Linked DNA regions of Mus musculus. The protein of the gene in region 1 purifies or fractionates together with the protein of each later gene. This does not show direct contact. Links are inferred from orthologs where the notes say so. Each region holds a gene or a part of one and is shown in the gene's direction. Other genes may lie near its edges.

Evidence for each region.
Region 2: the proteins of Prc1 (region 1) and Plk1 purify together in Homo sapiens (affinity purification with western blotting; 4 studies listed by BioGRID and IntAct, with this or other methods). This does not show direct contact. The link is inferred for Mus musculus from reciprocal best matches to the Homo sapiens genes PRC1 and PLK1.

Annotation. Positions count from the first base shown.
Region 1 is NC_000073.6:80,293,279-80,297,285, forward strand, and holds the start of Prc1 (protein regulator of cytokinesis 1), read left to right. Parts: upstream 1-1,197; 5' UTR 1,198-1,302; coding exon 1,303-1,313; exon of another isoform or gene 1,314-1,670; intron 1,671-2,722; exon of another isoform or gene 2,723-2,769; intron 2,770-4,007. UniProt on the Homo sapiens protein: Key regulator of cytokinesis that cross-links antiparrallel microtubules at an average distance of 35 nM. Essential for controlling the spatiotemporal formation of the midzone and successful cytokinesis.
Region 2 is NC_000073.6:122,158,141-122,162,270, forward strand, and holds the start of Plk1 (serine/threonine-protein kinase PLK1), read left to right. Parts: upstream 1-1,294; 5' UTR 1,295-1,402; coding exon 1,403-1,810; intron 1,811-2,395; coding exon 2,396-2,564; intron 2,565-3,366; coding exon 3,367-3,511; intron 3,512-4,130. UniProt on the Homo sapiens protein: Serine/threonine-protein kinase that performs several important functions throughout M phase of the cell cycle, including the regulation of centrosome maturation and spindle assembly, the removal of cohesins from chromosome arms, the inactivation of anaphase-promoting complex/cyclosome (APC/C) inhibitors, and the regulation of mitotic exit and cytokinesis.

The DNA of each region.
Region 1 (4,007 bases):
GAAGCTAGTGGTTTAAAAGCGCATTGCTAATCACCAGTGCTGTGGGTAACAAGGATACTCCAGGTAAAGTTTGGTGCAGAAGATAGGTTAATAAGTACCTCTTCGCAAAGGAGAATTCAATAATTACACTTCTACAAATCATTTTGGAGGAGGTAGCAAAAAAGAAATTCATCTCAGCTTTATTACAAATTTTAGTCTGAGTAGCAAAGGAGATACTCCCATAGCAGTGTATTAGGTAATAGTAAATCATTGAAAATGGGATACAGATGCTATGGGTCAGTGGGAAGAAAAGGACACACAAATACTTTGGTTGTTTTTTGTTTTTGTTTTTTGTTTGTTTGTTTGTTTGTTTTGGTTTTTCGAGACAGGGTTTCTCTGTGTAGCCCTGGCTGTCCTGGAACTCACTTTGCGGACCAGGCTGGCCTCGAACTCAGAAATCCGCCTGCCTCTGCCTCCCAAGTGCTGGTATTAAAGGCGTGCGCCACCACGCCCGGCTACACAAATACTTTGATGTCATGTTCAAATTGTGGAGTTTTCCTGATTTACCTAAATCTTATAATGTGCAAGAAAAACAAAGCCCAAATCACCATTTGCTCACAGCTAAATTGGGCAAGTCAGTTTTTTCCTGTAGCCCAAACTATTTCCCTGTCCTGTCTCTGCCGCCTACGTTCTGGAAAAGCTACTCAAATCTTTTTCTTCAGGATAGTGATGATCATTATTAACAGGTGTGTTCTAATGATTAAATGCGATAAACTTGTCCACTAAGGTACCAGGACCAAGAGCCTGGTTTTTTTTTCCTTCTAAGCTTTCCTGCTAGTCCCTGCTCCTCTTGGGACATTGGAGAGTAGCAAGAAGTCGAGCTGTTCTGGCAGTCTACCCAATACTTCTCAGGAAGCACAAAAATTTGAAACCCAACGGCAGCAACTCAGTGGGTACCGGTGACATCATCGGCCACACCCCTACACCCCACCCTTGAGGCGGGCATAGGTGCACGCATGCGCATATTGAGGCCCGCACGCTCCCCGTGCAAGCGCTTCCCACGCCCTAGGCGGTCTCTGTATCCCAGGCCTAGGCAGCAGCCCTTCGCAGGAGGGGCGGGACGAGGGCGGGGCTCCGTGAGTGGCGGACGCGGTAACCAATTGTCATTTGGCACCGCCTCTGGCTCGGTTTGAATTCCGCGGGGTCCAACGGCTCGAGAGTGGAGACGGACTCCGGGTGAAGTCTGCTGCGGCTGGTTACCGTTCTCCGTCCCGCGCGTGGCAAGTGGAGGGTCTCGATTCTGGACAGCTTGGAGCGTCCACCATGAGGAGAAGGTGCGGGTCTCTTAGGGGCGGGACCCATTACTGAGGTGCGGGTCTGGTACCAGGTTCGACAAGCTGGGTTCGCCGGTCTTCAGGCACCGATGTCTGTGGCTGGGGCGCTCGAAGCCGGCTCCGGAGGGCATCTGTGCCCGAGGCCACTAGCGGGGCGAGCAGCGGGGACAGCGCGGGGTTGACACGCTTCCTCGAGGCCGGGGTGGGTTTGTCTCAGGCCTGGCGTAGCTGGCGGCCGAGCTCAGGTGCCGCCGCAAGTCGCGGCTACTCGGCCTCTTCTCTGTGTAAACGCTGAGCATGTAATGGTGTGGGCTTCTCATCTCTTGAGTATAGTCTGTAATCGCATTGCTCGGGAGGCTAGAACAAAATCGATTCGAGTTTAGCCTAGGAGATGTAGTTTAAGACTAACCTGGGCTACGGAGTGAGACAGTACAAAAAGCCCTGAAGTTTTTTTAACCTTAAAGTTTTAAATGTATCGTTTTTTCTTCGTGTCTTACAGTTCCGCGTTTTTACTTGAGTTAGGAAGACGGCTTGAGCCGGCCAGTGGTGGCACACGCCTTTAATCCCACCACTTGGGAGGCGGAGGCAGGCGGATTTCTGAGTTCGAGGATAGCCAGGGCTACAGAGTGAGTTCCAGGACAGCCAGGGTTACACAGAGAAACCCTGTCACAAAAAAAAAAAAAAAAAAAAAAAAAAAAAAAAAAAAAAGAAAGAAAGAAAGAAAGGCTTTATTTCCTTGCAAGTTAACAAATTCGAATTCTTTTCCGGTCGTTTTAAGATTCCCAGGCGGGGTTAGAGAGATGGTTTAGCGGCTAAAAGCACTGATTGCTCTCCCAGAGGAGGTGGGTTCAATTTCCCAGCACTCACAAGGCAGCTCACAACTGTCTTTAACTCCAGTTCCAGGTGATTTTTGACACCCTCACATACAGACATACATCTAGGAAAAACACCGACGCACCTATGAAAATAAATAAAAAGAATCCTCTATTAAAAAGAAAATTCCCGGGCACTGCTTGGGAGTGCCCGATTGGAAATCCAATCAGAACTGACTCTTTGAGTAAAAGGCTGAATGCCGTTTTCGAATTTATAAAATAATTTTCTGCAACGAGTTGGGTGACAAGGCTTTGTAATTTCTAAGAATCTTGGTTTTGTGATTATAGATTTTGATCATTTTTTTTACCCCCAGATACTTGGCCTCAAGAGTCTGGGAATAGAATGAAAACAACTGACAAGTAGTATTGTGAAAAGAAATTGAGTACAAGGCTAAGGATTTCAGATATTCCCATCTGAATGACGTTATTCATTAAGCCCTTCTGGGGTTAATGGTGCATTATGAAGACTAGTAAAATCCTAACTTACACTGAATAGAAATTTGTATTCAGAGTATATTTGGATATGATTACCCTCACCTGTAATCTACAGATCTCAGGAGTTCAAGACAGGGAGTTCCAGACATCTGCAATATAAAGAGATCCTATTTCAAAATAGGAAAGCCAGACAGCTGGGTGAGGGGCACATCTATCCCCCCCACTGTCTTGGGAGGTAGAGGTGGGAGGTTCAAGGCCAGAGCAGCTTATAAGAGACCACGCCCCTCCCCCAAGAAAATAAAGTCTTCCAGTATGGCTTGTCCAAGTATTTTCTGCTTTTGTTTTGTTTTTTGTTTTGTTTTTCGAGACAGGGTTTCTCTGTGTAGCCCTGGCTGTCTTGGAACTCATTTTGTAGACCAGGCTGGCCTCAAACAGAAATCCACCTGCCTCTGCCTCCCAAGTGCTGGGATTAAAGGCATACGCCACCATGCCTGGCTATTTTCTGCTTTTTAAAAAACTTCTGAGACACACTTGTTGAGATTGCAGGAAGGCCACACCAATCCCTTGTCTTGGTTTCAGTCGGATTTGAGATCCTTGAATTTATGTCTCAATGTTGTATTTTAAAAAGATTTCTTTATTTTATTTATTAGGGTAGGGTGCTTTTAAAACAGGGTCTGTACACAGCTCTGGCTGCCCTGGAACTCCCTGTGTAGGCCAGGCTGGCCTCAACCCCAGAGATGCAGCTGCCCCTGCCTTCTGAGTACTTCTGAGTGTGGGGATTAAAGGAGTACACCACTATATGTGGTTCCTTTTTGGAGGGCTGGGATGGGGGAAGCACTAAGCCAGCTCAATTAATTATTTTCCTTTACCTGGGCGTGGTAGCGCACGCCTTTAATCCTAGCACTCGGAAGGCAGAGGCAGTCGTATTTCTGAGTTTGAGGCCAGCCTGGTCTACAAAGTGAGTTCCAGGATAGCCAGGGCTACACAGAGAAACCCTGTCTCGAAAAACAAAAAAACCAAAAAACAAAAAAAAAATTGTTTTCCTTTATGAGAAAAAGAATTAAACTCAAGTCCTCTGGGAGAGCAGCCAGTGCTCTTAACGTCTGAGCCATCTCCTCTCCAGCTCCATCCTCTTCATTTGTCCCTCATTCACAGTTATTCATTAAATGGGAAGGACAGGGCATAGTGGCACATACCTCTAACCCCTGTACAAGTGGCTCTCTGAGTTCCACGCCAGCCAGAGCCACATTGGTGAGCTCCTGTCTCAAAAATAAAGCAGCCGAGTGAAAGGACTGGCTCTGATTCCCTGTGCTCCTCACTTTCAGATGCTGTTTGGGGGGGGGGGAGTGTGCAATGGGAAAAGAATTTGAGCCCACATCTCTCCAAA
Region 2 (4,130 bases), about 42 Mb from region 1:
ACTGCCATTTTTTGCTCAATCCAGCAATTGGATCTTGCTAAGACCCTCCTGGGGGAACTAGAGCAACAACAGCTTCTAACGGAAGGTATCACTTAAGTGCCCAGATAGGCAGGGGGGCAAAGAGGGTGTCTGGGAACAGTGACCAGAGCTGGCCGTTTTTTTCTATGAAAAGCCACACGCCTGCTCTGTGTGGCCACTCTTTTTACATGTTGTAAATCCATTTTTTTTTTTTTTTCGAGACAGGGTTTCTCTGTATAGCTCTGGCTGTCCTGGAACTCACTTTGTAGACCAGGCTGGCCTTGAACTCAGAAATCCGCCTGCCTCCCCAGTGCTGGGATTAAAGGTGTGTGCCATTACGCCCCGGCTCATTTTTTTTTTTTCCTAAGTGAAGGCTGAACGGACACTTCGGCAGGGCAGACTTGGCCTTGGTATACCGGCATGCTAGCACTCTTCTAACCAGCTACCCCCCCACCTCTGACTAAAAAATTAATTTTTTCTATTTGGGGCTCTGGGCCACACAACTTGGAACAACCCAGGTAACCTTGCATCGCGGGGCAGACGTCCGGTGTTTCTTACATATCACAGGGCATAGGAATCATCTGAAGGTCTTGTTTGACCGGCAGGTCATGCCTGGGAAGTTTCTTTCCTTTGGGGTTAGTGGAGCGGTAGCTGAGGCTGATCTCGGCTAACTTGTAATCCTGAACCCACGCCCCTCCTTTGCCTTCTTAGGGAATTCCAGGTGCTGCAGATGCTGCTGGCCTCCTGCGTTGTTCAAGAGAAGGGTTGAGTTACTTCTCAGGGGCTGGGAGCCCCTAGTGCCACAGAGGAGATCGGTCCGTTGCGCCGTGAAGGTGCATCTGCCTGCTGAGCTTGCTCAGTTTTGGGTTTATTTAGGCTAGCCGGGGAGAGGGCTGTCCACCGCGGAGGCGGTGCACTCTCAAGCTACCGGTTGGCCTGGAGTTTCAGTTCTAGAAGGCCGGGTCCGGTGGAGGAAGGTGTTAGATCTTAACAGTTAGGAGAAGCCCCTGGAGGAGGCGCAGGTGAACCACATGAGCACGCCCCAGCCGAGGAGCAGAAAGCAGGACAGAATCCTGTTCTTCTAGGGATCTTCACGTAGTTGCTTCGTTCCTGGTTTCCCAGGCAATCCTGAGCAAACGCAGTCCTCCAGTCCCTGCCCATTAAAAATTTCGCCGGCAAGATCGGAGTTTAAAGGCGGCTGCGCCGTAGAGCACTCCCATGGTGCCGCGCGCTGGGCGGGTTTGTATTTTAAATCCCCGCGGCCAATCAGCAACGCGCAGGCCCTTGTAACGTTCCCAGCGCCGCGTTTGAATTCGGGGAGGAGCGGAGCAGAGCAGGACCCTCTGCACCGACTCAGCCAGGTTCGTGGAGCAACTTCGGCATCATGAATGCAGCGGCCAAAGCTGGAAAGCTGGCTCGAGCACCAGCCGACCTCGGGAAAGGTGGGGTTCCGGGAGATGCAGTTCCCGGTGCCCCAGTGGCCGCCCCGCTGGCGAAAGAAATTCCGGAGGTCCTAGTGGACCCACGCAGCCGGCGGCAGTATGTACGGGGGCGCTTTCTGGGTAAAGGAGGCTTCGCCAAATGCTTCGAGATCTCAGACGCAGACACAAAAGAGGTGTTCGCAGGCAAGATCGTGCCTAAGTCTTTGCTGCTCAAGCCCCACCAGAAGGAGAAGATGTCTATGGAGATCTCAATTCACCGCAGCCTAGCACACCAACACGTCGTAGGCTTCCATGACTTTTTTGAGGACAGCGACTTTGTATTTGTAGTTTTGGAGCTCTGTCGCAGGAGGGTGAGTGTTTCAGTCGCAGTGCTGGGGCTCCCACACCTGGAACTTGCTGACAAAGGGGCACCGAGGTTTTGGAGTGACCTAGAGGAGTGGTTGGGTTTCAAACTTTTATGGAAAGGCTTCTAGCGAGGGTACTTGGCACTCCGAACTGCTGAGGCCGGGGTTCTGGGGAAACCGAGACCAGATCCTGTTGCTATTAGGGATGGAGCTCCCAGACGCAAGGCAGCGAGTCGGTACAGGAAATGGATTCATAAAGTGGCTAAGGAAGGGTCCCAGGCTTGGTGTGCCACGCACCTCTAACTTCCGGAGTGGGGCAGGGTCGGGGGAGGGGGCGGCTGTTTGGAGTCAGATTTTAGAGCTTTCAGGAAAGGGAGGGAATCTCCTGCCAGGAGGAAGCCCTGGGTAGGGGAGTCGAGAGTGGGGTTGAGAGAAGACTCAGGAGAGGGTCTGGTGAATGATAGTGACCAACCAGTGTATGGGTAGAACTATCAGAAACCTGCTAAGACTCTCCACTCCGAGCGTCTAGTCCTAGCCACATCCAGCTAGCCACTCTTCTTGGACTTCAGTGACCTCTTTCTCCCTCCTCAGTCCCTCCTGGAGCTGCACAAGAGGAGGAAGGCACTGACCGAGCCTGAGGCCCGCTACTACCTGCGACAGATAGTCCTGGGCTGCCAGTACCTGCACCGCAATCAGGTCATTCACAGGGACCTCAAGCTGGGCAACCTCTTCCTGAACGAGGATCTGGAGGTGAAAATAGGTGAGGTGCTGGGCCTTCGGGTGTCTGGTGTCAGGGCAGGAGGGGACAAGGAGGGGAAGGTGAGGAAATAGAGATGCTGCCCTCTAGTTAGGAAGTGGAAAGTGTGTGTGTGTGTGTGTGTGTGTGTGTGTGTGTTTGTGTGTGTGTGACACTTTCCTTGCCTTTTTTTTAGATGCATTGGTGTTTATGCCTCAACTCAGTAGTTTTGAACTTGGGGCCCCTCCCCCAAATGCTTCTCTATAACCTAGCACTGAGCCAGACCCTCAGCCAATTTCAGGTCTGGACTTACGCTGTAGAGTATGGCAGGCAGCATCTCCTCAGGTGTCTCTTTACTAAGCTGAAAAACCTGCCCCCTTGAGTCTGATTGGCCAGTCCCTAGATCCCTGTCACTTCTCCACACACTTGCCCAGCAGCAGTCACGAAGATCATCTACTTGATTCCCCAGTGCATCTAATTCTGCTATCCTGTGCATTTTAAATTTCATTTACTTATGAATGGAGACAGGCTAACTTCAAGGAGTCAGTTCTTTCTTTCCACTGTGTGGGTCCCAGGATCGACGTAGATCATGTTATCAGTCTTGGCAGCAAGCCCCTTTACCTCCTGAGCCACCTTAACCACCGTAACCCTGCTATCTAAAGAGGTGTGTGGGAGGCTGGCTAGGGCCAGTACAGTGGAAGGGTTCAGGGACTCTGGGGCCTCAAGCCACTAGTTCTCAATGCTCAGGATCAAAACAGAGCTGCCTGCAACCACAGACAGCCCGGGCTTAGCAGCTGAGCACCCTCTCTTCTTTCCTCTGTCCCAGGGGATTTTGGCTTGGCAACCAAAGTGGAATATGAAGGGGAACGAAAGAAGACCTTGTGTGGCACTCCTAACTACATAGCTCCTGAGGTGCTGAGCAAGAAGGGACACAGTTTTGAGGTGGATGTGTGGTCCATTGGGTGCATCATGTAAGTTGGCAATGGCCTTGGCTCCTGGGCCTCAGCAGGGCTTTCTGAGGCTTCTCACCCAGTTGACTTTGCCATGTGAATCTTTCTACCTTATAGAAAGGCTGTTTTAGTGGACAGGCTGTCCCACATGAAACCCTGCTTTTCATATATCAGTCTGGCGTAGGCTGTTGGATTCCTGTAACTTGACTTGTTGGTCCAGGGAAGGGATCAAAAAGTCCCTGAACTTTTCCTCCTGGCCCTTGGTGCTTACTAAAAGTATGCACAGATCCAAACCATCAACACCTGAGAGCTTGTTAGGAATTCAGAATTTCAGATCTGAACCTGGGTTTAATACAATCCCTGCCTGACTTTCCATGGAGCATTGGAAGTCCTGCTGAGTGCTGAAGGGAGAACTAGGCCAGTAGAAAGCCTGGCGATAGGCAGAACCACCACGGTGGCCTGTGGTGGATAGCAGTGGCCTCTGGGGCACTGGGAGAGTCCTCGGTCACTGTAGGCCAGAGCCGTCAATTCCTGGCCCCTTGGTACACAGGTGTTGTCACTTGCATCCTTCTGAGGGCTTGTCCCAGCCTTTGGTTGCTGTGTCACTGGACTGACTTGGAGAGCATCCCCGTCCGTTCCC